Linked DNA regions of Callithrix jacchus. The protein of the gene in region 3 interacts with the protein of the main gene of each other region in a biochemical or structural test. Links are inferred from orthologs where the notes say so. Each region holds a gene or a part of one and is shown on either strand. Other genes may lie near its edges. The genes, in order: NQO1, MAPT, STUB1, ATXN3, LRRK2, UBE2W and PSMD4.

Region 1 (4,126 bases), on a different chromosome or scaffold from region 3:
CATCTGTCATTCTTCTGATGGTTAATTACCACTTTTTCTAGTCATTTTTCCTTCACCTTTTGACAGTATGTCTCCCCTCTTCACTATAATTGTTACTTTATAGTTTTTTTTGTTTGTTTGTTTGTTTTCTTGAGACAGAGTCTCACTCTGTCGCCCAGGCTGGAGTGCAGTAGTGGCACAATCTCGGTTCACTGCAACCTCTGCCTCCCGGGTTGAAGCAATTCTCTTGCCTCAGCCTCCCAAGTAGCTGGAACTACAGGTGTGCACCACCACACCTGGTTAATTTTTGTATTTTTAGCAGAGACTAGGTTTCACCAGGTTGGCCAGACTGGTCTGAAACTCCTGACCTCAATTGATTCCCCTGCCTTGGCCTCCCAAAGTGTTAGGATTACAGGCGTGGGCCACCACCTCCAGCCCAGATTTAAATTATTTGCTCTGTTCTGTTCTGTCCCTTTGTGTGAGCTTTTGTGTAAAGCCAGTACACTTGGTTCTGTTTTGGCTATTTTTTAAATGCTTCCCTGTAACTGCTACCTCCACACCAGCCTTGCTTTAGTTCATGGGGAAACAAAACCAATTAGTTTCCAATTACCTGCTTTGAGGAGCAGGGGTAGGCTGGCGGCAGGCACCCACAGAAGTACATTGTATGTGCCCCCAAGTGCAGAATCTGAATCTTGAAAAGTAAGAAATGGCCCAGGCGCTGTGGCTCACTCCTGGAATCCCAGCACTTTGGGAGGCCGAGGCGGGTAGATTACCTGAGGTCAGGAGTTCGAGACCAACCCCGTCTCAAAAAAAAAAGGAAAAGAAAAGGAAGAAACAAACGCATTTCTACGGAGCAAGTCTCTTCAGTGCTGTTAGCCTTCCAAATCCAGTCACAGTGACTCAGCTAAATCTGACCCTAGGAAACCACAGTAATCTGCATCCAGCTTTTGCTGCCGGGTTTCTTGCCAAGGCCCGAAGGGTGTGGCCAACCGATCCCTGGACTCCTTGGGAACAACCTCCTCCTTGCATCCCCTTGCCCCTCAGGACACAGTGCGCAGATGGGCCTGCCTAGCCCCTCCAGCCAGATTTTTGAGGTCTCTGTCACACACCCCCACAAAACCCCTCCCCCGACCCCCAGAGACTTTTCGCGACTTCAACCAGTTGCTAGGGTGAGCGGGAGTGGAAGGGCCCCTCCTTCATCCCCCAGGCTCCCTCCCTTCCTGGAACTGTAGCCTCGGCAGCCTCTGCCCAGCGCCCCAGGACCAGGCGTTCGGTACCACCCTGGTTGGCTGTCCAACTCAAATGGGCGGGGCAGCAGATATAAGAGAGAATGCGCTGCGCACTCGGGACTCTTGCATGGTTGGTTGCAGCCCCTGAAACCAACCCGGAAAACCTACTATCTGGCCAGGGTCGCCCCAGCAACCACGAGCCCAGCCAATCAGCGCCCTGGACTGCCCCGGAGCCATGGCCGGTGAGTGCAGCCAAGGAGGAAGTTTTTGCATTTCTGGAGACCTGGTGTGTGCGGAGGTGGTTGTAAGGGCTTAGCTCTGAGTGTTTTTCCTTGACTCAAAATGCACAAAGGAAGAGATTAGGGTCCTGGGATGAGCCTTGATCGGATTCCAGCAGGGGGAGAGCTTCTGTTTGTATGGGAGCCGCAGATACTCCCTCACTCCACCCCACGAACTCTAGTGGACATTTAGGAAGCAGACCTTAGAAGCAGACATTCCCTCCAAAACTGGGGTTAGTTCAGAAACTGACCCTCGGAGGCCAAATCAGGCTTGCGGTCACTGTCTATACCTCTTTTGGTCTATAGTATTTAAAACACTTTGACATAAGTTGCTAACATTAAAATGGGTGATTTCACTTAAAAATGTGGATTCCCGGCTTCTGAAGAAAATGAGATCAGGCGATTGGTGGGCAGGAGTGGAGGAAACTGATGCCTTTAGTTTGACGGAGACCAGAACCAGCTCCAGGCTGCCAGGCTCAGGTTTTATTTTGCTTTGTGTTTTTGAGATGGAGTTTCGCTCTGGTCGCCCAGGCTGGGGTGCAATGGTGCGATCTTGGCTCGCTGCAACCTCACCTACTGGGTTCAAGCGATTCTTTGGCCTCAGCCTCCCGAGTAGCTGGGATTACAGGTGTGCACCACCACACCCAGCTAAGTTTGTATTTTCAGTAGAGATGGGGGTTTCACCATGTTGGTCAGCATGGTCTCGAACTCCCTGACTCAAGTGATCCACCCACCTCGGCCTCCCAAAGTGTTGGGATTACAGGCTCAAGTCTCTGTGCCCAGCCTTGGGAGGTATTTTCCATTAAGCCTCTTGGATCAGGCAAACCTGATTGGCTAGCACTGGATCTGTTTCTGGTATTGGGTTCATTTCAGTGATAGAGCCTCCCCACTTGCCCATCAACCCTAGGGGAACTTAGAGGGTACCCTAACTCTACCTGAGGCATAAATAACCAGCTGAGACAATTGCAGGGACTGAGAGCTGTTTCCCAAACAATTTCACTCTGAGATTGGACAGTGCTAAGATTTAGAAAGCTGTTGCCTCAGCTGGGGCAGAATTCTGCCTTTCTGTAATTTCCTTCCCTGTGAACCTGGTCCTGCCTCTAAAAATGCACCTGTACCAGGGAGGCAGAGGTTGAAGGGAGCGGAGATCGTGCCACTGCACTCCAGCCCGGCCACAGCAGGACTCCATCTCAAGAAAATAAAAAGCAACTGCACAGACAAGAAACCCATCTTGGTCAAAGTGAGTGGGGGAAGAGATCACGCTTGCAGTTGACAAACTAAACTTGTCAGGATCTCTAAGAAAGGGAGGAACCTGTGGATTAGAAGCCCAGCATAAGTTGCTGGGGGAAGACAGCAGGGCATAGGTTCTGAGAGCTGAGAGGCTTCCTGCATACGCGGTGGCTGCTGCTTCCCTTGTATTTCATTCTTCAGCTGCTCTGAGGCACCGGCACCCTCTCCTCCAAATACTAGGGCAGGAGCTAACTCCTGACTTTTCAATCTTCCAGAGTGTTCTGTGTTTCTGTGTAGTTTAAGCACAAAAAAGCGGGTGGTAACGAGGGAAAAGGGGAGACTTGGACCTTGTATAATTAGTTTTAGCTGTACACAGCTAACCAAACCTTGAGGTTAACTGAAACATCCAGGCTTTTTGTTTGCAACTAGTAGACGCATCTGGCTTGCACTTATATTCCCTGGAGGATTCAAGTGAGCCGAGAAGGCAGAAGGAGAATGCAGGAAACTGCTGCTAAGTCTTGCCCTTATCATACTTCTCTCTTTCCTTTTGAGACAGGGTCTTGCTCTGTCGCCCAGGCTGGAGTGCAGTGGCATGATCTGGGCTCACTACAGTTTTGACTTCCTGGGCTGAAGTGATTGTCCCATCTTTGCCTCCTGAGTAGCTGGGACTATATGTGTGTGCCACCACACCCGGCTAATTTTTTTGGTCAGAGCAGAACAACTTGAAACCCAGCTAATTAAACAACATTTTTTTTTTTCTGCTGGGCATGGTGGCTCATGCCTATAATCCCAGCATTTTGGAGGCTGAAACAGGAGGACTGCTTGAGGCCAAGAGTTCAATACCAAGATTCAGCTCAAATGGCAAGCTCCTCTCAGAACCCTTCCATTAGGGCTTGAGCCAGCCCTCAAGTCCTGAGGTTTCCTTCAGAGATGGAGTCTCACTCTGCTGCCCAGGCTGGAGTGCAGTGGCATGATATAGGCTCACTGCAATCTGTGCCTCCCAGGTTCAAGCCATTCTCATGCCTCAGGCTCCCCAGCAGCTAGGATTATAGGTGCACGCCACCATGCCCAGCTCATTTTTGTATTTTTAGTAGAGACGGGTTTTTACCATGTTGGCCAGGCTGCTCTCAAACTCCTGACCTCAAGTGATCCCCCCTCTCGGCCTCCGACAGTGCTGTGATTCCAGGTGTGAGCCACCGCGCCCGGCCCTCTGTTGAACTTTGCCCCTTACCCCTCCTAGCACACTAATGCCACTGTACCCTGAGGAGGTTATCTGTGCATGCATCTGGGGCCTCTCAGGATAATGCTCTAACTCTTCCCAGGTCATGTTGTTCAGCTAGGTGTGTGGCCGGAAGGGTAAATGAACCTTCCAGGCCCAGAAAACTTCCTTTCTGTCAATTGCCTGTTCAC
Region 2 (3,500 bases), on a different chromosome or scaffold from region 3:
GTCCTAATCCTGTGCTTCAGGCCCTCACAGCTGAAGGGCCTCCTTCGATGCTAGAATCTGGTCTCTGTTGGGTCCCAGGTGCTGATGAAAGCCTTATAAAACTTGGGAGGCCCCAGCAGGTTGGAGCCACACTGGCCTGGAACTGAGTCCCAGCATGGGGGTGAGAGACACCTTGTGAGGGTGGCTTAGAAACCTCTTTACAAGCATTTCAAGATACATGCGTCCTTTTTTTTTTTTTTTTCACTATCATAGTCACTCTGGTGAATCCAAGCATTAACAGACAAATCCAACTACAACGCAACAGGGTACAGATGGGGAGGGCAGGGCAATATCTATGTATATGTTTAGCTGCTCCAGCAGAACAGACAGCATGGCTTCCAGCTGGGACTGGGGGGAAAACCATTTCCGAGGGGGCGTGTTCCCCTTTCGGGGGTGTGGAGGGCTGATTCTATGCATGTGGAGCTGAGCAGCGGCTGGGCTGTCTGGGAGGCTGGCAGCCACAAGCTGGGGTAGAAGTGGGAGACAGCGGGACTGTGGGCCTGCCCTGGGTGCCTTGCCCACCTGTCCTAGTGCCATGACTGACAACCAGGACACCCAGCCTCCTGCTGCCAGCTCAGCACCGGAAGGGGCCAGGCCTTCTGGGGGCAAAGGGCTCTCTCCACATCAGCAAGGTAGAAACATCTAGGGTCACAGCTGAGCAGTGCCCTGGCTCACATCTGTGAAGGGAGGACGAGGCAGGGAACAGAATCAGGTCATGAGATTCGTGGTGAGGGGCACACCAGTTAGATGACTGACACTGAGAGTGAGAGGCTGGGGTCCCACTCTTGTGCCTGGATTTTGCCTTCCCTTAATTTTGCCCTCAGTATGGAGTAGGTACCTCCCGAAGCCAACCTCCCGCAGGGTCATTACTGATAAGTAGGTGGTGACATGGTGACGTGATGTGGGATACAGGCAGTGAATGGGCTCTCATGGCAAACAGTGGCACGGCGGGGCAGACGGGTGATGGCAGTGGCCATGGGAAGGACAGGAGGCTCAGGACCCACTTCCCAGACCCCTGTACACTCCAGAGATGCCGGTGGCCCAGGCTTGGAAACAGGTGGATGTCTCCCAATAGGCACAAGTCCTTACAAAGAGAACTGGTTAGCCCTAAAGTCCCAGGTCTGTGAGGTGGCCAAAATCGTGGCTGCAGTTCCAACCTTCAGAACTCAATAAAACAGGGTTTTGTGGAGCAGAGAGAAGTCCCTCAGCTCAGGCCCCCCACCCTGCAGAGAGGGAGGAAGAGGCCAGCGCCCTCAGATGTCAAGATCAGTCTTCTCCAAGGAAATCATCCATGGGGCACCACCCTCCCGCCGGCCTGCCTTCTCCTCTTGCCCGCTGTCCCTTCTCCCACAGGCTGCCCAGCAGAGGGTGGCACACCGACCCGTAGCAGGCCCCAGCCACAAAGGACAGGCACCACTTGGTCTGAGATGCTGCAGGCAGCGGAGGCCTTGGCCCTCCCATCGGCATGGAGTGGGGCAGCATCTCCTCTCCAGCATGTGGCTTCCTCTCCCCTCTGCCCAGCCCCTGCCTTGGCCTCCCACTCCACCCCCGTCACACTCACACAAGGCTGACATCATCTGCCTGTGGCTCCACAAACACACCAAGTTTCAAATCTTTTGTTGCTGCCGCTGCCTCTGTGACACCCCCTGGATTGGGCCAGAGGTGGTGGACACCCCCAGTCCCTTGAAATCCCCCAGAAGCAGCTTTCAGAGCCTCTCCTCCCTCTTCTACACAGAGGGAGGGAAAAAATCAAAAGGAATTGCCCTAGGAAATGTTGGGTGTGGCCATGTTTTTGAGTGTTTTTAAAAAATATTAGCCCACCCATCAATTTGGAAAGATGAAATTTGCTCTTATTCCCATCACTGATTTTGAAGTCCCGAGCCAAAGCCGAGCAACAAAAGCATGTTAAGTGATTAACCGAACTGCGAGGAGCAGCTGGGGGCAGAGGGTGGGGGCCGGGTCATTATTCTTTTTTTTTCCACACACTCTCACTCTCTCTCCTCTCCACGATTACTGACTGCCCCGGAGGCCTGATCACAAACCCTGCTTGGCCAGGGAGGCGGACACCTCGTCGGCTAACGTGGCAAGCTGGGGCGAGTCTACCATGTCAATGCTGCCGGTGGAGGAGACGTTGCTGAGGTGCCGTGGAGATGTGTCCCCAGACACCACCGGAGACTTGTACACGATTTCCGCCCCGTGGTCTGTCTTGGCTTTGGCGTTCTCACGGAAGGTCAGCTTGTGGGTTTCAATCTTCAAGGAGAAGAGGGAGGGTGAGATAAAGTGCCAGAGAAAGGGAGACAAGCCCTGCCAACTGTCCCGCCAGGTCTGGCCCACAGTGCCAAGGACTGGTTTTGTTTTTGAGACAGGGTCTTGCTCTGTCGCCCAGGCTGGAGTATAGTGGCACAATCTCACCTCACTGCAGCCTCAACCTCCTGGGCTCAGGTCATTCTCCCACCTCAGCCTCCCGAGTAGCTAGGATTACAGGCATGCACCACCACACCTGGCTAATTTTTTGTATATTTAATAGAGATGGTGTTTTACTATGTTGCCTAGGCTGGTCTCAAACTGTTGGACTCAAGTAATCCACTTGACTCGGCCTCCCAGAGTGCTGGCATTACAGGTGTGAGCCACCACACCTGGCCAGGAGCTGTTTTTAGTGTCTTCCAAATGGTAATACCTGTGTCCACTCCTCCCCTGATCTGCCTCCCAGGCACCCAGATACCCTCCCCAGAGACAGTGGTCATTTTCAGTTCCTTATGGATCCTCCAGAGATATTTCATCTATAAACACATGTGTGAGTACATACATACAAAGGCTGCTTAGTATTCCCTCCCCGTGGATGTACCAAAAGGCATCTACTCTGTGGCTGGAGGTTTAGGCTGCTCCTGCCTTTGGTGATTACAGGCAATGGTGTGTATGAACAACAGGGATAAACAACCCTGTATGAACATGTCACACACGTGTAAGTGGGTCCTAGAAGTAGAGCTGTTAGGTCAAAAGGCATGCACATTTTGAGACATATTGCCAGATTGCAAAGGAAAATGTGGAAAGAGAAGCTGGAGAAGATCAAGGATGTCTCCCAGAGCCACTGATGCCCAGACATAAGCCACACAAATTCCTCCTGTTTGCCAGTGACTGATGAGTTTGGAGGTGGCAGCAACTGTGGGCAGTGCTGGCAGGCGGGCCACAAAACATGACGTGACAAAGGCCTGTTTGTGGGTGGGTGGGTGTATGATTTAGGATGGGGATTGTCTAGTGACTTATCTATCCATCTATTATCTATCTGTCATCTACCTATCTACTTGGAGATGGGGATCTCACTATATTGCCCAGACTGGCCTCAAATTCCTGGGCTCAAGCAATCTTCCCACCTTAACCTCCTGAGCAGCTGGGACTACAGGTTCATGCCACTGTGTCTGGCTGAAGCCCTTTTGAAAGTAGAGAGACATGACATAGCCAGG
Region 3 (4,120 bases):
CCACACCGCGGAGGGCACACAACTTTATGACTGCGGCCCCCGACTCTGGCAGGAGTCAGAAGGCGGAGGTCAAGCGGTGCACAACCAGCTCAGGGGATTGGTGGCCACAGGCTGCTGAAGACATGGCCAAAAGCGGCCTCTCTGTGGGAGGCCAGGTCAGGATGCCTGGAGTGGTGGACCCTCCAGGAACCCCGCCCCACGACAAAGCCCCGCCCCCACGAAGACACGCCCCTAGGAGGCCCCGCCCACGAGGAAGCACCGCCCCACCGACGCCACTCCCTGAAGACCCGCCCTACGGAGGCCCCGCACACGAGGAGGCGGGGCCGCACCCCACCGGCAGCCTCTAGACTAACAGCCGTTCCAGCTCCCTTCGCGTCACGTGCTTCTCCGCTCGGCCCTTGATGGCCGCCAGCAACTCCTCCCGTTACCTGGAAAAGGGGGTGAGGGGAGGTCCGGCCACGGGGACACTCGCCCCACGGATCCCTTTATCTCTTACCAGTCTACCAACGGTCCACGGCTTCCAGCCGCTCTCGGGGGCCCGCGCGCGCTCGTAGCACCTTTCGGTGGCATTCCAGGATGGCAGCCCAGCAAGCCGCTGGGGTCCCCACAGCCCCAGAGCGCGTGGGAGGCCGCCATGTTACGTGGAGGGGAGGGGTCGGCTCTCAGGGGCGGAGCCTCTGCGGAAGGGGCCGGCTGCTGGGGGCGGGACCTCTGCAAACGGAGTCGACCCCCCCCCGAGGGCGGGGCCGGCTGCCAGGGGCGGAACCTCTGCAGACGGGGCTGACTGATGGGGGCGTGGCCGGGTGCTGGGGGCGGGGCCTCCGCCGATGGGGGTGGCTGCGGGGGCGGGGCCTCTGCCGATGGGCCAGGTGCTGGGAGTGGGGGCGGGTGCCGGGGGCGGGACCGCCGCAGATGCGGCCTGTTGTTGGGGGCGGGGCGGGCTGCTGGGGGCGGGACCTCTGCAGATGGGGTCTTTACGGGTTGGGGCAGGGGCGGAATCCCACGTGGGCGGGACAGGCTTTTAGGGAAGCACGCCCTCAGCGAACCAAGGCTGAGGCACCTCACGGAGAAAACCGGATATATGGGACGGCCGCCACCGAGGCCAGTTCTGGAGAGGCCTCGGCGGGGCGGGGCGGGGCTGGCCTCCGCGAATGCCGACCCTGAAAAACGCGGGGCCAGGGAACCGGAGCGTTCCTCGCAGCCAGCTACGTCGCGGGCCGACTGTCCCCGCCCAGGCTGGTTGGGCGCACGCGCGGCCCTACCCGCCCCCCGACGCCTGCGTCCCCGCCGATCCCGCCCCCGGCCGGAAGTTCCGGCGGCGGAGCTGGGCCGGGCCCGAGCTGATCGTGGGCTCGGGCTGCAGGGCTCGGGCTCGGGCTTCGGGTGCAGGGCCGTCAGGCGCGGAGCTTGGGAGCGCAGCCCAGGCCGTGCCGCTCGGCGCCATGAAGGGCAAGGAGGAGAAGGAGGGCGGCGCGCGGCTGGGCGCTGGCGGCGGAAGCCCGGAGAAGAGCCCGAGCGCGCAGGAGCTCAAGGAACAGGGCAACCGTCTGTTTGTGGGCCGAAAGTACCCGGAGGCGGCGGCCTGCTACGGCCGCGCGATCGTGAGTGCGCCCGCGTGGGGAAGGCGGCGACGGCGAGTCGGAGGGCCACGCCCGCGATCGGCCGGCCCCGCCGAGGGTCTGGCTCCTCCGCGGCGGGTATCCTGGGCTCCGAAAGCCCAGCATTGGTTCTCGATCCCAGCGCCAGGTGCCGGGGAACGAGGGTGGGATGCTAGATGGAGGCCGGCCGGGTGGGTGGGAGGCCAGGGTCCAAAGCTGGGACTCTCCAAAGATTTGGAAAACTCTACAGAACCAACCGGAGTGAGGTGTGTAGGCTCAGCCAGTAGTCCCGTGTCTGCAGATCCTTGGACCCAGAGGCTTTGGCTACTGAGAGGTCTAGGTTCTTGATCGTAGCCAGATCGCAGAAGCTGGGACGGGCCCTGGGACAGAGGGGGCGCGCTGAGCCTACGCCTGATGCGGCTGGCCCGGCCTTGGTCCCTAGACCCGGAACCCGCTGGTGGCCGTGTATTATACCAACCGGGCCCTGTGCTACCTGAAGATGCAGCAGCATGAGCAGGCCCTGGCCGACTGCCGGCGCGCCCTGGAGCTGGACGGGCAGTCTGTGAAGGCGCACTTCTTCTTGGGGCAGTGCCAGCTGGAGATGGAGAGCTATGATGAGGCCATCGCCAATTTGCAGCGAGGTTGGCCGACAAGCTGCCTGGGTGCGGGGCCCCTGGGACCAGGCGGTTGGACTGGCCAGCGTGACCGGAAGCCCTTGTTCCCCAGCCTACAGCCTGGCCAAGGAGCAGCGACTGAACTTTGGGGACGACATCCCCAGCGCTCTGCGAATCGCGAAGAAGAAGCGCTGGAACAGCATCGAGGAGCGGCGCATCCACCAGGAGAGTGAGCTGCACTCCTACCTTTCGAGGCTCATTGCGGCGGAGCGTGAGAGGTGGGACCCTTACCCCAGGCCGCGCTGTCTGGGGATAATTCTGAATAACCAACCGCCAACACGAATGTTTACTGAAAGTTTTACTGGCGAGCAGTGCATGTGGGGAAGAAGCCTGGATGTTAGCCCTGAGTCTGGGGTGTGGTCAGACATCTTCTGGCCAGGTCCGTCTCTGACGGGCTCCTGGTCATCCCCCAGGGAGCTGAAAGAGTGCCAGCAGAACCACGAGGGTGACGAGGACGACAGTCACGTCCGGGCCCAGCAGGCCTGCATTGAGGCCAAGCACGTGAGGGTGCCCCCATCCACATGTGGGTCTGTGTGTGTGCACACGTGGCACGGGAGCGTCCCCACCCTGCTGTGGGTCTGTGTGTCCCTGCCTCGTGTTGGGTCTGGGTACCACGGAGGAGGGAAGTGGGGTGTCCCTCCCAAGCACTGCTCAACTTTCCACAGGACAGATACATGGCGGACATGGATGAGCTCTTCTCTCAGGTGGATGAGAAGAGGAAGGTGAGTGCTGCTGTGGGTGGTAGGTCCTGGAGCAGCCCCTTCCCAGCCTCTGACCCTGTGCCCATGTGCCACAGAAGCGCGACATCCCTGACTACCTGTGTGGCAAGATCAGCTTTGAGCTGATGCGGGAGCCGTGCATCACACCCAGTGGCATCACTTACGACCGCAAGGACATCGAGGAGCACCTGCAGGTGAGGCTGGGGCCAGGGGGTGGGCAGGGCCAGCAGCAGGGTCCTAGGCTTGCTGAGCAGCCTCTGCCTCTTGTCACTGCAGCGTGTAGGCCATTTTGACCCTGTGACCCGGAGCCCCCTGACGCAGGAACAGCTCATTCCCAACCTGGCTATGAAGGAGGTCATTGATGCATTCATCTCTGAGAACGGCTGGGTGGAGGACTACTGAGCTCCTCGCCCTGCCCAGTGTCCTGGCCCCGGAGGGCCACGGGCAGAAGCCCCCAGCCCCTGTACATAGCTTGTGTCCCTGGCCACCCTTTCCCTTCCCCCCAGTTCTGCTGTTGGGCTCTGGACGGCTCCCCTCTCAGCATAGCTCTTGCTGGGCTGTGATCCTCCCCGTCCCCCATTCTGGGCTGGAAAAGCAGGTGAGGGTGGGCTGGGCTGCGGCCACCGTCTGTGTAATAAAATCCGTGAGCACAAGCTGGGGAAGAAGTGCTCTGTGTGACAGGAGTGCCTGCCGGCTGCCACGGCTAGCCAAGGAAGGTAGAGATGAAGACGCTGGTGTCAAGGTTGAGTGTGGCGTGCCACCAGCGGTCGGGGAAGTACAGCACCTGGTGAAGGAAGGGGGTGCAGCCGAGATCAGCTGCGGGCCTCTGACCTGGCCCGGTCCCTCCTGCCAGCCACTGACCTCACCAGCCTGGATGGTACACTCCAGGGGCCGTGCAGACGGCGGCAGGGCTGGGTATGTGTCCCGGAGCCAGGCCAGCGTGGTCTTGTTGGGGTGGAACTCTGGCGTCTTCTCAGGTGGGTAGAGGAACCAGCGCTGTGGGCAGGGGCAGCAGCGTCACCCTTGCCCACTTGGGTCATCCACCCAAGCCCCGACACCCACCCTGGGCTGACCTTACGGCCGTAGATCACCTCCGAGTACCCAGGCCCGTGCCAGTGGAAGGGCACCC
Region 4 (4,138 bases), on a different chromosome or scaffold from region 3:
AGCCTCTTGAGTAGCCGGGGTTACAGGCGTGCGCCACCACGCCTGACTAATTTTTGCATTTTTAGTAGAGACGGGGTTTCACCATGTTGGCCAGGCTGGTCTTGAACTTCTGACCTCAGGTGATCTCACCTCAGCTTCCCAAAGTGCCAGGATTACAGGCGACAGCCACCGTGCCCAGCCATTTTTTTTTTTTTTTTTTTTTTGGTGAGATGGACAGAGAGAGAAACTCCGTCTCAGAAAAAAAAAAAAAAGTGCATCTTAATCTGGTTTCCAGGTGCAAGATGTGTGCCTATCCTTCCATTTAAGGTTCATCAAACTGCTGCTACCTCCCCGTTTCCCACACAATTCACTGCACCTCTAATTTCCCTCTAAAGGGCCAGAACACCTATGCTGGTAACAAGCCACTTGAATTTGAATCCTAGCAAGGTAACTTACTATCTTGGACATTGTACTCTTCTTAATCTCTCTGTGCCTTGGTTTCCTCATGTGTATGAATAACATCAACACCGACATCAAAGTTTGCTGTATTAAATTTGATAATATGTGTAAAGCAATTAGAAAAGTGCCTAGCTCATGGAAAGCCCTATATGAATATTAGCTAACTTTTTTGTTTTCTTTTTTGTGTGTGTGATGGAGTTTCACTCTTATTGCCCAGGCTGGAGTGCAATGGCACGATCTCAGCTCACCCCAACCTTCATCTCCTGGGTACAAGCGATTCTCCTGCCTCAGCCAACGGAGTAGCTGGGAATTCAGGCATGTGCCACCATGCCTAGCTAATTTTGTATTTTTAGTAGAGATGGGGGTTGCTTCACGTTGGTCAGGCTAGTCTCGAACTCCCAACCTCAGGTGATTCGCCTGCCTCGGCCTCCCAAAGTGCTGGGATTACAGGTGTGAGCCACTACCCCTGGCCTAGCTATCATTTTTATACAAGTGCTAGGTTTTGGGAGAATGTAATGACACCTTTGCTTAACAACCTTTAATTGGAGGAGGAGGAGAAAGATAATAAATAGTTATTTGAACACAGTAGAAAGTTCAAATAAAGTGGAAAACAAAAAGAACATAGAACCCAGGTGAGTGGTCCAGACCTCCGGCCAGAAACCTAAGAATCCATAGAAATGGGTGGGAAGCGGAACAGATCCTCCAAACAGCAGGTGGCGCTGTAGCATCTCCCAGAAGGCCCGCTAACAGAATATAGGAGGACGGGCTACCAAGGTCACGTGTCGCTGGCGTTCACTCGCTCTTTGCTCCACGTGACTCACATCCTCACGGGTGATTGGTCTACGTACTGCACGTGGGCGGGGAGACTGGGGCGGACCAGGGAGGGGCGGGATAGGCGGAGGAGAGGGGCAGGGGGCGGAGCTGGAGGGGGTGGTTCCGCGCGGGGGCCGTTGGCTCCAGACAAATAAACATGGAGTCCATCTTCCACGAGAAAGTGAGTGTCCGCGTTCGGTGGGGAGCTGTATGTCCGTGCGGTGGGGAGCTGTCTGCCGCGCGGTGGCGGGCGTGGAGCGCGGCATCACAACCTCCCAGGGGGCTGGGTGGGGCCCGAGTCGCCCCCATCCGGATCTCGCCGGGCGAGGGGCGACCCCGCAGCCTCCTGCCTCCTCGGCTCTGGAAGGGGAGCATCACAGAATCCCCCACTTCCCCCGCTGCTTCCTAGGCCCCCGCCCGGGAAGCCGGGAGGGTGTATGGGCGGGGCCGGGGCGTCTCGGGACAAGGGAGTGGGGTGGCGCCTAGTGGGTTCGCTTCTGCCTTTTTCCGTCACTTTCAATCGCTTTTCGAAGGATTCTTTGACCTCCGCAAGCCTTCTCTCTCCCTAGGGTCTAGCTAGAGTGACCTCTGGGACATCTCCCTCGACCCCTCCTACCCCATTCCTGGCAGAATTAACTTTTTCATCTCTGGACTGCTCAATTCTATATTGCAGTGTAGAGTCTTCCCTACACGTAGATCTTTGGAGTCTTGTTCATGTCTTTCCCCTGCACTGGGTCCGCAAGCCTCCCGAAGGAAGGGACCTTGGCTCCCCCACACTGGGGCCTGACACTTAGGAAGTGAAGTAGGAAACCCGGCTTGTCCCTTAACAGGGAAGTCGTCACAAGTTTTTATTACGGGATGTTTGGGTTTGGTTTCTTTGGGTACTCCCATCTTTCCGGAGCAGGCGGCCAGCTTTGTGTTTGGGTATTAGGAGTGGATTGGAATGATTTTGTTGTGGTCTGCCTAGCCCGCTGTCACTTTAACTCTTCAGTGACCATGCACTTGAAGATACTGTTTGTGATAAGTGGAGAAACTTGTCTTTACTCACATGCTATTAATCCAGCCATTTGTGTGTGAGTGAAGCCTTCCCCAGGACAACTTTGGCATATGATGTCTTGTTTCATAATAGTTTCGTGTTTGGAGTTGCTGGCGAGGCTGTTATTTAATAGGAGGAGCAAAGGGTTTTTGTTTAATTAAATACTTGTAAATGATCAGTAATTATCACGATTAATTATCCCAGACATTTAAAATTCACACACACACAACAAATAAAGCAAAGGCAATAAATTTACCAGATGTAAATCTGTAATATGAATCTATTTAAAAATTTTTTATTTTAGCGATGGGATTTCATTCTGTCACCCAGGCAGGTGTGCAGTGGAGAGATCCTGGCTCGCTGCAGCCTTGACCTCCTAGGCTCAAGCGATCCTCCTGCCTCAGCCTCACTGGGACTTCTGGTGCATATCGCCATGGCCAGCTAATTTGTGTGTGTGTGTGTGGAGATGAGGGTCTCGCTGTGTCGCCCATGCTTGTCTCAAACTCCTGGACTCGTGATTCTCCCACCTCAGCCTCTCGAAGTGCTGTGATTACAGGCATTAGCCAGCCACTGTGCCTGGAACAAATTGTTAAGTACAATATTTTAAATTGTAGAAAACATCTAGGAAACTTTTAAAATAGACTGATTTAGAGTGGGGGAGGAAAGACTCAGTCGTATAGTTGTTATTAATCTTTTGGTTTGATTGACATGACTTACAAATCATAGACAATAGAGATTTAATTACTTGGCTCAGTAATTAAAGAGTGGGTGGAAAATACACATGTACTTAAAAAAAAAATTTTTTTTTTTTTTTTTTGAGACCAAGTTTTGCTCTTGTCACCCAGGCTGGAATGCAGTGGCACGATCATGGCTCACTGCAACCTCTTCCTCCCTGGTTCAAGGGATTCTCCTGCGTCAGCCTCCAGAGTAGTTGAGATTACAGGTGCCCACCACCACATCCAGCTAATTTTTGTATTTTTAGTAGAGACAGGGTCCATGTTGCCCAGGTCTTGAACCCCTGACCTCAGGTGATCCACCTGCCTTGGCCTCCCAAAGTGCTCGGATTACAGGCATGAGCTACCGCACCCAGCCGTATTTTTGTTACTAACTTTCAAAGGCTTTGATGTGGGACCACATCTCAACATGGAAGGCCTTAAATATGTTCCACACTACTTCCTGAGATTTAGACAAGGTTTTCAACGATATTGATTGTTACCTAGTTGGGACACATTTCTACTGAACCATGGTATGAAAAAAAGTTGGGTGCTAGCCTAGTGAAAATCTACTTACCTGAAAGAAGTCCCTCTTAATTCTTAGCATGTGTGTAGGCCTACAGATACTTCAGGAATACATTTAATGTTATCATCAAGTTGTATGTACATAGCAAATGAAGATTCAACAATTTAGGTTGATGTTTTTGTTTTTTGAGATGGAGTCTCTCTCTCCTGCCCAGGCTGGAGTGCAGTGGCGTGATCTTGGCTCACTGCACTCTCCACCTCCCGGGTTCAAGTGATTCTCCTGCCTTAGCCTCCTGAGTAGCTGGGATTATAGGCGCCCACCATCATGACCAGCTAATTTTTGTATTTTGTTGTTGTTGTTGTTGAGACAGAGTTTTGCTCTTGTTGCCGAGGCTGGAGTGCAATGACACAGTCTCAGCTCACTGCAACCTCCGCCTCCCTGGTTTAAGCGATTCTCCTGTCTCAGCCTCCTGAGTAGCTGGGATTACAGGCGCCCACCACCATGACTGGCTAATTTTTTGTATTTTCAGTAGAGACGGGGTTTCACCATGTTTGCCAAGAGTAGTCTTGAACTCCTGACCACAAGTGATCTGCCTGCCTCAGCCTCCCAAAG
Region 5 (3,500 bases), on a different chromosome or scaffold from region 3:
TGGAGTGCAATGGCACGATCTTGGCTCACCACAACCTCCGCCTCCTGGGTTCAGGCAATTCTCCTGCCTCAGCCTCCTGAGTAGCTGGGATTACAGGCACGCACCACCATGCCCAGCTAATTTTTTGTATTTTTAGTAGAGGCGGGGTTTCACCATGTTGACCAGGCTGGTCTGGATCTCTTGACCTCGTGATCCACTAGCCTCGGCCTCCCAAAGTGCTGGGATTACAGGCGTGAGCCACCGCGCCTGGCTCTGTTTTCTATTATAATATATATTGCTTAAAGATCTGAACAGAGAAGAAAGCACTCCAATTAGGATGCCGCCTAAATTATAAGCATGTCGCTGTACTTTGAGAACACTAAGTTGCGTGCAAGTTTGTGATGACTAGGCTTTCCTGCCTTTACTGAAGGAGCAGAATGAAGCCACAGATAATGGATTTGGATAACCAAATCCATTTTGTGGTGAGAAATTCCTTACTTTCAATGTCTTGAAGAGATGAAGTATGTTACCAAAGGAGATTGGGTTTTTAAAGATTACAGATAAGTGACTTAGATTGTTTGGGAGTAAGGTTTTAGATATAAGTTTTTATGTTTTTAAACACATACTGACAACTTCTGACAAGCCTTTGGAAAGTTTTAGAACTCTGTTGAAAGTTCGTGCAAGCTGCTGATGGAATCTGTGAGCCTTTCTTGTTGCTTATCATCTATTTTTTGGCAGAACACATTTCTTACTTCCCACCAACAGGTTTTGCCCTTTTTTATTCCATTAAGATTCCTCCTGAGATTGGCTGTCTTGAAAATCTGACATCTCTGGATGTCAGTTACAACTTGGAACTAAGATCCTTTCCCAATGAAATGGGGAAATTAAGCAAAATATGGGACCTTCCTTTGGATGAACTACGTCTTAACTTTGATTTTAAACACATAGGATGTAAAGCCAAAGACATCATAAGGTTTGATTATTTAATTTCTATTTGTTTTTATCAAATTTATTTCAGATTTCCACTCTGTGACTTCGATGGACATATATTGTTATGCTTTAGGGAAAAAAATCAATAGTAATATTGGACATTAATGTGCTATGTGTCATTTGCCTTTCATTTAGTGAATGTGTTTCTATGGTGCCACTGTAGAGATTTTTCATTCTTCTTAGCCAGGTAACATTGAGAGTGACTTTTTTGCCTTCTCTTTCTTTTTAGTGGAGTAGACTCTGAAAGAAAATATGTATTGTTATTCGGTCTCTTGTTACCAATTACACAATCTAAAGAAATATGGCACGGTATAATAACTTATCACACTGTATTTCATATAGCAACTAGTAAACATATGCCTCTTACATCTTAAAGCATTATAGTTACTGACATCATGTGAAATCACTAACTTCTATTTTGCTCATTAGGATGAGTAATCTACTCACCTTGATCAGCTCTGAAACTACCAAAACTTCTCAAGTATCGCTGTTTCTGGTCTTTACACTTGAAACACTTTAAATATCTTTAATAATGGATTTTATCCCACTTTTTGTTCCCTTTCAGCACATTGTTCTTATTATTTTCTCATAAAATCCTTTGCTCCCTTTCCCACAGTTACTGTATTAACATTGCAGACCTCAGCTCTGTCGTCACCTCCCAGCTAGACTGTAATGTGCACCAAGGCAGAGACCATGGCTGTGTTCACTCACTATTCAAATCTTGGCACCAAACACAGTGCCTGGCATAGAATTAATAGTTGTTTAATTACCTGTGTTTTATGCTTACTCATTCTCTTCCGCCTAAAGTCTCTTAAATTTATATTTAACTTTATATCTTTTTATGAGGAAGGATTTGGTTTTCTGAATTCTTGAGCTTCATTTCATTGTAAAGGAAAGAGTTTAACTTTTGTGCTAAAAGTGACTACCCTTCATTTTACACAATTATTTTTCCCTCTTGAAAGTGGAAAAGTTGGCCATATAAAAATTGGTTCAATTCTTACTAAACGTTTAGCAGAACTAGCTTTCAGTGTATTATGCTGTATTTTAAAGCTACATAACTAAATATGTTAAATATTTTAAACATGTTTAAGGTTTTCAGGAAAGACAGAAAGACCCTAGAGCGGATTAGAAATTGTAGGCATCATTTGCTTTTTGAAGAATGACATATTTCAAATAGTGCTGCCATCTTAAGAAATAAAAAATGAAGAAAAGTAATGTTGCTTTTCAGTTATATCATCAGAAATGTTGGTCAGAGATCGGTCACTACTCCGATGTAAAATTCATTTTTTATTTAGGTTTTCTCTAATTTTAAATGGCGGCAACACTTTAACATATTTCAAAATATGTCTTTCTATTTTTATTATATTTTTGATAACACTTTAAATCTACTGTTAGTTTAAAGGTCATTTTTTAGCTACCTAAACACTTCTATTTAGTTCAGTTTTTATGTTAAGATCATTAGGAATGAAACCATGTTAACATCTTCTGATAGTATAATAGTTTATATGTATTTATGTATGATGTAATATGATCTCACTATCTGTATATACTATTATATGCATTTGTGAAATATATCTATCTATACATCCTATATTCTACATATGACCATATAGACACATGTAGAACTAATATGACCTTATCAAGGTTTATTATTACAGTATACATATTTTTATCTTGTTTTTATGTCATATGGACTTTGTGAAATTTTATACTTTATAAGGTTTTTAATACTATTAAAAGAAATTCAAATATGTATACACATATGTATGTATATGTGTGTATATATAGATGTATACATATTGCGTATTGTATGCTGATTAGTATTGGAAACACATTTTGGCCTTTTGATTATTTCTGGTGGTAGTGTAACATGTTATATTGGTAATTCTACCAAACACTATCAACTACACTAAAATCTCTAGCAAAATATATGCATTAACAATACACTGAAAGGCGTATTGTTATTAGTTATATATATATATAACTAATGAGTTATATAACTCATTATTAGTTATATGAGCTATGCGCTCTTTTAGAAACTATATCTTAGAATAGTGTTACATGCAAAACAACTCACTTAAATCTCATGTACTTTTAAGCGGTTTATTATTTTATTTTTATCTTTCAAATACTAGGTTTCTTCAACAGCGGTTAAAAAAGGCTGTACCCTATAACCGAATGAAACTAATGATTGTGGGAAATACTGGGAGTGGTAAAACCACCTTATTGCAACAGTTAATGAAAATCAAGAAATCAGATCTTGGAATGCAGAGTGCCACAGTTGGCATAGATGTGAAAGACTGGCCTATCCAAATAAGAGGCAAAAGAAAGAGAGACCTCGTTCTAAATGTGTGGGATTTTGCAGGTATTTCTATAGAATTTTAAAATTCACTTTTACCACTTGTTATAAACAGGGTTTAAAAAAACTGAGCTTTCTGTTCTAATATCCAGAGAACTGGTAGACTGTATGGAATTATTCCAAAGCCCTTCACTTCTCCTCATTTTACTCCAGCCTCCAGAATGGAGAAGAA
Region 6 (4,091 bases), on a different chromosome or scaffold from region 3:
TAACTTCCCTAGTGATGGATAGTGTGTTTAATATTATACCATAAACTAACTGACGTATTTTAAATATATTTTTCTTTTTAAGCACATTTCAGATTAGAGAAGTTCCAAAGAACGTAATCTATTTTAAGAGTGTGAGTGATATTCTTCATTGCATTTATAGCTTAAAGAAATTTCTAAAACGAAAGCCGAGTCAATAAAATGACAGATTTTAAGCCTTCATTCTGGTAACATAAAAGCCTTCTACTCATTGTGTCTGCCACGTTAAGTTTTAAAGATAGAGCATGAGGTGCAGGCTTTTGGCTTCCATTTTCCTCTCATAAACCAATGACATCTTCAGTTCCAGAATAGCTTTCTTCAAACGTGACTTCTGATAAATGTTGGCAGAACTGGTGCATTCCTAAAATAAATTATGTATGCTCAGCTTTCCCTACCCAAGTTAATCCCTAAATGACCATAAAACCACCACGAAATAGGCTTAAGAGAAGTCTGGACATAATGGTATAAGTGTATATTATAACATTTAAAAAAAATTAATGCCTGGGGTCAACTCGCTAATCAAATTTAGACTGCCCCAACAACGGTAACTATTGTTGATACATGTGAAGTTTAAAACTTCACATGTATCAACAATAGTTGGAGTAAGGGGCAGAAACTGCACACAGCTTAGAAACTTCCAAATTTTCTCTCCCTTTTCAGGCAAGTTTCAGCTCCACAAATCTAAATATCCTCGCCTTTAAAATATCAGTGTTGTTCTGCTCTTACATCCTCATCCCGTTGTACAAGGAAACCTATGTCTCTCTTCTCCAAATTAAGAATACTAGAAGCCGTCAGAGCGAGACTTCGTCTCAAAAAAAAATCCCCCAAGAAACCTTCCAAGTCTCCAAAGACCAGAAAGTAGCTGCGCGGGAAGTTTTATGGGGCCCCAAGGCTCTGAGAGTGGGCTTGGTAGTAGGGAAGGCACATCCCAAGGGAAAAATCTGTACCGCACAGCTGTGCTTGGAAAAACAAAACGAACAGAAAAAAGCTGCGCAGATCCGGACGTCATAAGGATTTCGCGGTACAGACGAAGAAAACAACCGTAGCCGAGTCAAAACTGGAGCCGTGTGTCCTCGATAAAGAGTAATCAGGAGCCAGACTCGGGACCTGCGAGTCCAACTGTGACCGAAGGTACTCACAGCGCCATTTACCGTCCCCTCGCACCGCCCCACGGTCCCTCCTCCCGTTCGCCTAGCGTGCCAGCCAATCCCCTCGCGCTATCCCCTTCCCTTTACAGATCCCGCCCCCGCGCCGGGGATGTTGAGCCCCCGCGGCGTGACGCGAGCACGGCAGCTCCGCCCCCTGCGTCTCTGGCCTCGCCGGCTGTGGGGGGATGGTTCCATCATGGCGTCAATGCAGGTGAGAGGAGTTTGCTGCATCTGGGCGGGCCAGGGAGCCGCCAAGAGGGTGCCAGCGTTCGGGCGGGGGCGGTGTCCGCGATTCGGGGACACCCGGGCGGGTTCGGGATCGGTCAGGGTAGTCTGTTTTCTCTCCGCTCAGGGCGTCGGGGGAGGGGTGAGAAGCGGCGAGAGGCGTCGGGTGGTGGGGTGGGGGGTGGTGCGGTATCCGTCGGTCGAAGGGGACACCAGCCGACTGGGAAGTTGGGTGATAAAGGAGGCTTGGGGGAGAAAGGGCGAAGTCTGGCGTTCCGGTCTCAAAATCCGCTCCGCGCGCGCGCGCGCACACACACACACACACACACACACACACCCGCTGCCAGTCTGCTCCCCGCCAGCCCCACGGTTGCCTTTCTCCCGCTGTCCCTGGCCCGACGGAAACAGCTGCGCCCGCGGTTGTAGCCCGGGCAGGGGCGGCGAGGGGCTGAGTGTGGTGGAGCCGAGAAGGCGTCTCGGGAGAGGGCGGCTAGCTGCAGACGGCGCTCAGCGGCCTCTGCTCCGGCCTCCCACGCCGGGCCTCTCTTCTTCCCTTGACTCTTAATTCTGTGCTCGTGGGTACCTTCTCTTTCCATCTGCACCGGCATTCTCACTGACATTCCTCCAGCAGTCCACTGTCTCCTTCCTCTCGAAGCTGCCCGAGTCCACCGCCTGATGGACAGTCTCCCGAGAGCCGAGTCCTCAGCCCCCTTAAACCTCTCGGGATAGTTCGCCCTCTATTTTGTTTTCCCCTACAATGCCCCACCCTTGCGGTCGAGGTAAAGCTACTTGTTGTTGCCCTTAACTACCCAGACCTTCAGTAGAATCTAAATGGGTAGGAGGCGTTTGTTAACCTGTGTCATTTCTACCCCACTTAGCAAGTGGGGTTTTCTGGTTTTCCAACTTAATTTACCCCTTTTCCCCGAAACCAGGGAGTTGTTTTAATTATTTTTGCAGGCAAAGATGGCAACCACAATTGTAGTTTTGTAGATATTGACTGTGTTATGTATACCCTGCATTTAATTCATTGATGAAGACGAGCAGTATCAAAGGACATAGGAAGAGAAAGTAGACCTCTAAATAGGAGTGTCAGCTGAATACCTTTTAGCATTTTATTAACATCCCCTTGGGTAAAGAGAGACCACGTTTTCTTAGAAGTGTTTTTTGCTTTTGTTTCTGGAAGAAGCAAGTCTCTGTTCCCCCTCCTTTTTTTTTTCTTTTCTCTGCTGAAAGTGTTTTTCTTCCCTTTTTTGCATCTTCTTCCTCTTTTGTATAAATATTTCTTTGCTTCACATTTACTCCTGTGCTTTTATGTTATTCCCCTTTCAACCTGTTTTCCTTACAGTATTCTTTTTACCTTTGCTTCTCCCTCTGGACTTGCCTGCAGAACATAAAAGTTTTATATAACATTTCTAGTTGAAGAGATGTCACGAATGGTGCAGGGAAAAAACAAGAACAATTTCAGGAAACGTTATACTTTACACTAGTTTCCCCAGAGACGTTAGAGAAGTTTCGTCATTTGAGGCTGAAAAAGGAACTGTGGAATCCTAGTTGAACAGTAGACGCAATAGGCTACAGGACCACTTAAAGATTTTATGTGTTAAGATGAAAACATTTTTTATGAGCTTAAGATTATCGGTATTAAGATTAAAACGTAATTTGAGGCTAAAGATTAACATTAAAATCCACAATACTTATGATAATATTTGACAAGAGAACTTAGTGTGTTATCTGGTTAGATTGAGTGTCTGGTAAAGACAGATTTGTTTATGAGAGAAGTTGGTAATCTTGAACTTTACATAGTGTCCTAAGCAATGGAAACAAATACTTGATTGATAGTGCAATAGTGCGTTTTCCTGTGCCCTAAGTGTTACTACCTTAGACTGTCTTATCACTTTGGTTTTTGCTTTTGAGACAGAGTCTTGCTCTGTCGCCAGGCGCCAGGGTGGAGTGCAGTGGCACGGTCTCGGCTCACTGCAACGTCTGCCTCCCGGTTTTAAGCAAGCCTCAGCCTCCCGAGTAGCTGGGACTACAGGAGCACGCCACCACGCCCAGCTAATTTTTGTATTTTTTTAGTAGAGACGGGGTTTCACCATGTTGGCCAGGATGGTCTCTATCTCTTGACCTCCTGATCCGCCTGCCTTGGCCTCTTAAAGTGCTGGGAATACAGGCGTGAGCCACCGCGCCTGGCCTTTATTTATTTATTTATTTTTAAGACGGACTCATCCTCTCTAACCCAGGCTGTAGTGCAGTGGCACGATCTCGGCTCAACGGCGTTCTCCGCAGCCCGGGTTCAAGCGATTCCCCTGCCTCAGCCTCTTGAGTAGCTGGGACTACAGGCACACGCCACCATACCTGGCAAATGTTTTTGTATTTTTAGTAGTGATGGGGTTTCACCATGTTGGCCAGGATGGTCTCCATCTCCTAACCTCGTGATCGCCCGCCTCGCTCTCCCAAAGTGCTGGGATTACAGGTGTGAGCCACTGTCCCCCGGCTGTTTTATCACTTTTTAAAGTTTTTCCCGTCACGTATTCTGTCTAAATCTTATCACTCTCTAGTCTATGTTTTCTGGTTAGAGGAATGGAAAACAGATGCTTCCTGTTTTTATTAAAATAAAAAATCTTTCCTTTTTATTTGTATTTTAAAATGTCTAGTGTAGATTTTCTGGTAGTGTCTTTTTTT
Region 7 (4,202 bases), on a different chromosome or scaffold from region 3:
GGGTCCCTCTAGCGGTGAGCGGCGACTAGTGCTTATTCTCTAGCTGTGTGCTGTAATTTATATTCAGATACAAGTAGGGCCTATTAGTGTAAAACTAACTAAAAGGGAAATTAAAATCATAGGATAATAAAGTTGAAAATCGTCATCTGGTTTAATATTTTACTTTTTAAATTATTTTTGTTAATATTTTACTCTTAAGCATGTTAATCTCAGCTCTTCTGAAAATTATCCAGAGACGAAGTCTCGCTATTAGTTTTTTAGCCAGGTGTTGTAGTCGCAGCTACTCTGGAGGCTTAGGTAGGAGAATTGCTTGAACTCAGGAGGCAGAGTTTGCAGTGAGCCCAGAAGATCGCGCCACTGCACGCCAGCCTGGGCAACAAGAGCCAAACTCGGTCTCAAAAAATAAAGAAAAGAAAAAAACAAATATACAAATAAATTAAATGGAAGGGTATAGGGCTTGTAGTTAGATGAATAAAATGCTACAGGAAACTGAGAGCTCTAGAACGTCACTGGTGATCTCGACACTTTTTTTTTTTTTTTTTTTTTGAGATGAGTCTTGCCGTGTAACCTAGGCTGGAGTGCAGTGGCGCGATCTTGGCTCAGTGCAGACTCAGCCTCCCGGGTTCAAGCGACTCTCCTGCCTCAGCCTCCCGAGTAGGTGGAATTGCAGGCGTGTGCCACTGCACCCACCTATTTTTTTTCCTTCCTTCCTTTCTTCCCTCTCTCCTTCCCTTCCTCCCTTCCTCCTTCCTTCCCACCTTCCCTCCTCTCTCTCTCTCTCTCTCTTTTTTTTTTTCAGACGGAGTCTCACTCTGTCACCCAGGCTGGAGTGCAGTGGTGTGATCTCGGCTCACTGCAACCTCCGCCTCCTGGGCTCAAGCGATTCTCCTGCCTCTGCCTCCTTAGTAGCTGGGATTACGGGCGTGCGCCACCACGCCCGGCTAATTGTTGTATTTTTCGTAGAGACGAGGTTTCAGCATATTGGCCAGGCTGGTCTTGAACTCCTGACCTCAGGTGATCCGCCTGCCTTCACCTCCCAAAGTGCTGGGATCACTGGTGTGAGGCACCGCGCCCGGCCGATCCCGACACTTTTTTTTTTTAATGACAAAGCTAGAACAGACATAGAATTTTCAGATTCCTCCACAGCTCCCCTAAGATCCAGCCGGCGGGAAGCCCCAACTGAAAACAGCAATGGGAGGTAACGCGGAGGCTAGATCCTGCTTTTTTGTGTGTTACTGCGATTCCCTCTACTCCCAAAACGCCCCTTTTTTTGACGGCGCCTACAACTCCCAGAACGCAACGCGAGGGACGCAGGCGGAAGCAGCTGGCCAAGCTGAGGTCTGTGATTGGTGAAGAGCGATGGGCCAATTGGAAGAGTTGTTGCTAGGACGTCCCGGAGAACAGGTCGGGAGGGAGGAAGGTGGCAAGATGGTGTTGGAAAGCACTATGGTGTGGTGAGGCACTATCTCGGGGCTGGAGGGGCAGAGCTGGGTCCGGGCGCGTGTATCGCCGAGGCCGGGCGGGCCTGGGGTGGGGGCTGGAGGCTCATGGGCGAGAGGCGGCCCTGGGCCGGGAGGGAAGGAGCCCGCTCGACTCCCTGAGTCATCCCGGGGCCCTGGAGAAGCGGACAGGCCCGGGTTACCCCTGTTACCCCCAGGGGTATGGTCGTTGACCGGCCAGTCCTTCTGCCTATCTCTATTCCAGCGCCGTGTTCTTTAGAACAGCCGGATTCTGTCCTAAGTAATGCTTCTCGGACTCATTGTAAGTCTTCTGTCCTCCTTCGCAAAATAATGTCTGTTAGGAAAATAGATTATTAATCCCTTACTCTCTCCATTCCCTCGTCTCTAACTCTGTTACCTTTCCCTTTATCATCCTCAAAGTACCATCTACAGATTGCTTTTTATATACCATTTTGTTTACTTTATCTCACTTAGACCTCACAGCTACACCTTAGGGTAAATTCTCCATTTTACTGTTCAGGATACCGATTTTAAGTGGCTTGTCCAAAATCACACAGCTAGTTAAGTGGTGTAGTCAAGATTTAAACCCAGGGCTGTGTGACACAAAGGCTTTTATCCGACAAGTAGCTCTCCGTCAGTCTCAGGCTTGGGCTGAGTACCTATTACGAGTCACATTAGATGCTGAGGACATCAATTTTTGGAGGGTGTCAAGAATTCTAAGTGTAATCGTAGAGCGTAATACAGAATAGTAGATGAACACAAATCACCAATTGGGTGGAACAGACACCTATGAGATTTCTTCTTTTTATTTTTTGGGGAGAGCATAGCAGATAACATACAGGATACCCAGTGAAATATGAATTTCAGATAAATGATTAATTTTTTTTTTTTTGAGACAGCTCTGTTACCCGGGCTGGAGTGCAGTGGCGCGATCCAGCTCACTACAGCCTCCGCCTCCCGGGTTCAAGCGATTCTCAATGTTTGAACTAATTAACTTGCACCAACAGTGTGTGAGTATTCTCTTTTCTCACAATCTTGCCAGCATGTGTTATTTTTTGACTTTTTAGTAATAGCCATTCTGACTGGTGTGAGGTGGTATCTCATTGTGGTTTTGATTGGCATTTCCCTTTTTGAGAACGAGTGTGGCTCTGTCACCAGGCTGGAGTGCAGATGGCATGATCTCAGCTTACTGCAACCTCCACCTCCCAGGTTCAAGTGATTCTCCTGCCTCAGCCTCCCCAGTAGCTGGGACTACAGGCATGCACCGCCATGCCCAGATAATTTTTGTATTTTTAGTAGAGATGGGGTTTCACAGTGTTGGCCAGGATGGTCCTGATCTCTTGACTTCGTGATCTGCCCGCCTTGCCCTCCCAAAGTGCTGGGATTACGGTCATGAGCCACTGTGCCTGGCCTTGATTGGCATTTCTCTAATGATCATTGATATTGAGGTTTTTTTTATTTGCTCGTTGGCTATATGTATGTCTTCTCTTGAGAAGTGTCTGGCCGGGTGCAGCGGCTCACGCCTGTAATTCCAGCACTTTGGGAGGCTGAAGTGAGTGGATCACCTGAGGTCAGGAGCTCCTGACCAGCCTGACCAACATGGTGAAACTCCATCTCTACCAAATTTAATTAGATTCCACTTGTCAGTTTTGCTTTTGATGCAATTGCTTTTGGTTCCTTTGTCACAAAATCTTTGCCTATTCCTAAATCTAGGATGGTAGTGCCTAGGTTGTCTTTCAGGATTTTTTTTTTTTTTTTTTTTGAGACAGTTTTGCTCTTGTTGCCCAGCTGGAGTTCAATGGTGCAAGCTCTGCTCACCGCAATCTCCACTTCCCTGGTTCAAGCTTTTCTCCTGCCTCACTTCCTAGTAGCTGATATTACAGGCATACGCCACCACACCTGGCTAATTTTGTATTTTTAGTAGAGACAGGGTTTCTCCACGTTGGTCACGCTAGTCTCGAACTCCTGATCTCAGGTGATCCACCTGCCTGGGCCTCCCAAAGTTCTGGGATAACAGGTATGAGCCACCATGCTTGGCCTGTCTTCCAAGATTTTTATAGTTTTTGGTTTTATAGTAAGTCTTTAATTCATCTTCAGTTAATTTTTGTGTATGGAGTAAGAAAGGAATCCAGCTTCAGTCTTCTGCATATGGCTAGCCAGTTATCCCAGCACCAATTATTGAATAGGGAATCTTTTCCTCACTGCTTGTTTTTGTCAGCTTTGTCAAAGAGCAGACAAAACGTAGGCCAGGCACAGTGGCTCAAACCTGTAATCCCGGAACTTTGGAAGGCCGAGGTGGGTGGATCACGAGGTCAGGAGATCGAGACCATCCTGGCCAATGTGGTGAAACCCCATCTCTACTAAAAATACAAAAAATGAGCCAGGCGCAGTGGCATGTGCCTGTAGTCCCAGCTACTCAGGAGGCTGAGGCAGGAGAATTGCTTGAACCTGGTAGGCAGAGGTTGCAGTGAGCTGAGGTTGCGCCACTGCACTCCAGCCTGGGCGACAAAGTGAGACTCTGTCTTAAAAAAACAAACAAAACAAAACTAAGAACTGATGATTGTAGGTGTGCAGCCTTATTTCTAGGCTCTCTATTCCGCTTCATTGGTCTATGTGCCTGTTTTTGTACCAGTCCCATGCTGTTTTGGTTATTTCAGCCCTGTAGTAATAGCTTGAAGTTGGGTAACGTGATGCCTCTAGCTTTGCTCTTTTTGCTTAGAATTGCTTTGGCTTTTCTGACTC

Evidence for each region.
Region 1: of the proteins of STUB1 (region 3) and NQO1, one has a biochemical effect on the other in vitro, tested with the Homo sapiens proteins (2 studies listed by BioGRID). The link is inferred for Callithrix jacchus from reciprocal best matches to the Homo sapiens genes STUB1 and NQO1.
Region 2: of the proteins of STUB1 (region 3) and MAPT, one has a biochemical effect on the other in vitro, tested with the Homo sapiens proteins (11 studies listed by BioGRID, with this or other methods). The link is inferred for Callithrix jacchus from reciprocal best matches to the Homo sapiens genes STUB1 and MAPT.
Region 4: of the proteins of STUB1 (region 3) and ATXN3, one has a biochemical effect on the other in vitro, tested with the Homo sapiens proteins (6 studies listed by BioGRID, with this or other methods). The link is inferred for Callithrix jacchus from reciprocal best matches to the Homo sapiens genes STUB1 and ATXN3.
Region 5: the proteins of STUB1 (region 3) and LRRK2 form a complex in vitro, tested with the Homo sapiens proteins (3 studies listed by BioGRID and IntAct, with this or other methods). The link is inferred for Callithrix jacchus from reciprocal best matches to the Homo sapiens genes STUB1 and LRRK2.
Region 6: the proteins of STUB1 (region 3) and UBE2W form a complex in vitro, tested with the Homo sapiens proteins (7 studies listed by BioGRID, with this or other methods). The link is inferred for Callithrix jacchus from reciprocal best matches to the Homo sapiens genes STUB1 and UBE2W.
Region 7: of the proteins of STUB1 (region 3) and PSMD4, one has a biochemical effect on the other in vitro, tested with the Homo sapiens proteins (5 studies listed by BioGRID, with this or other methods). The link is inferred for Callithrix jacchus from reciprocal best matches to the Homo sapiens genes STUB1 and PSMD4.

The regions. Positions count from the first base shown.
Region 1 is NC_133521.1:27,293,949-27,298,074, reverse strand, and holds the start of NQO1 (NAD(P)H dehydrogenase [quinone] 1), read left to right. Parts: upstream 1-1,326; 5' UTR 1,327-1,443; coding exon 1,444-1,450; intron 1,451-4,126. UniProt on the Homo sapiens protein: Flavin-containing quinone reductase that catalyzes two-electron reduction of quinones to hydroquinones using either NADH or NADPH as electron donors.
Region 2 is NC_133506.1:86,763,000-86,766,499, reverse strand, and holds part of MAPT (microtubule-associated protein tau), read right to left. Parts: intron 2,290-3,500; coding exon 2,074-2,289; 3' UTR 1-2,073. UniProt on the Homo sapiens protein: Promotes microtubule assembly and stability, and might be involved in the establishment and maintenance of neuronal polarity.
Region 3 is NC_133513.1:2,940,267-2,944,386, forward strand, and holds STUB1 (E3 ubiquitin-protein ligase CHIP), read left to right. Parts: upstream 1-1,320; 5' UTR 1,321-1,442; coding exon 1,443-1,601; exon of another isoform or gene 1,602-1,746; intron 1,747-2,040; coding exon 2,041-2,239; intron 2,240-2,324; coding exon 2,325-2,490; intron 2,491-2,557; exon of another isoform or gene 2,558-2,685; coding exon 2,686-2,773; exon of another isoform or gene 2,774-2,937; coding exon 2,938-2,994; exon of another isoform or gene 2,995-3,068; coding exon 3,069-3,185; exon of another isoform or gene 3,186-3,245; coding exon of another isoform or gene 3,246-3,267; coding exon 3,268-3,393; 3' UTR 3,394-3,644; downstream 3,645-4,120. Other genes in the region: JMJD8 (jmjC domain-containing protein 8), read right to left, coding at 3,695-3,775, 3,853-3,987, 4,065-4,120. UniProt on the Homo sapiens protein: E3 ubiquitin-protein ligase which targets misfolded chaperone substrates towards proteasomal degradation.
Region 4 is NC_133509.1:126,952,602-126,956,739, reverse strand, and holds the start of ATXN3 (ataxin-3), read left to right. Parts: upstream 1-1,338; 5' UTR 1,339-1,408; coding exon 1,409-1,432; intron 1,433-2,724; exon of another isoform or gene 2,725-2,863; intron 2,864-4,138. UniProt on the Homo sapiens protein: Deubiquitinating enzyme involved in protein homeostasis maintenance, transcription, cytoskeleton regulation, myogenesis and degradation of misfolded chaperone substrates.
Region 5 is NC_133510.1:35,407,594-35,411,093, reverse strand, and holds part of LRRK2 (leucine-rich repeat serine/threonine-protein kinase 2), read left to right. Parts: intron 1-770; coding exon 771-952; intron 953-3,104; coding exon 3,105-3,334; intron 3,335-3,500. UniProt on the Homo sapiens protein: Serine/threonine-protein kinase which phosphorylates a broad range of proteins involved in multiple processes such as neuronal plasticity, innate immunity, autophagy, and vesicle trafficking.
Region 6 is NC_133517.1:29,573,169-29,577,259, reverse strand, and holds the start of UBE2W (ubiquitin-conjugating enzyme E2 W), read left to right. Parts: upstream 1-1,291; 5' UTR 1,292-1,293; coding exon 1,294-1,395; intron 1,396-4,091. UniProt on the Homo sapiens protein: Accepts ubiquitin from the E1 complex and catalyzes its covalent attachment to other proteins.
Region 7 is NC_133519.1:11,149,406-11,153,607, forward strand, and holds the start of PSMD4 (26S proteasome non-ATPase regulatory subunit 4), read left to right. Parts: upstream 1-1,402; 5' UTR 1,403-1,428; coding exon 1,429-1,454; intron 1,455-1,704; exon of another isoform or gene 1,705-1,761; intron 1,762-2,359; exon of another isoform or gene 2,360-2,470; intron 2,471-4,202. UniProt on the Homo sapiens protein: Component of the 26S proteasome, a multiprotein complex involved in the ATP-dependent degradation of ubiquitinated proteins.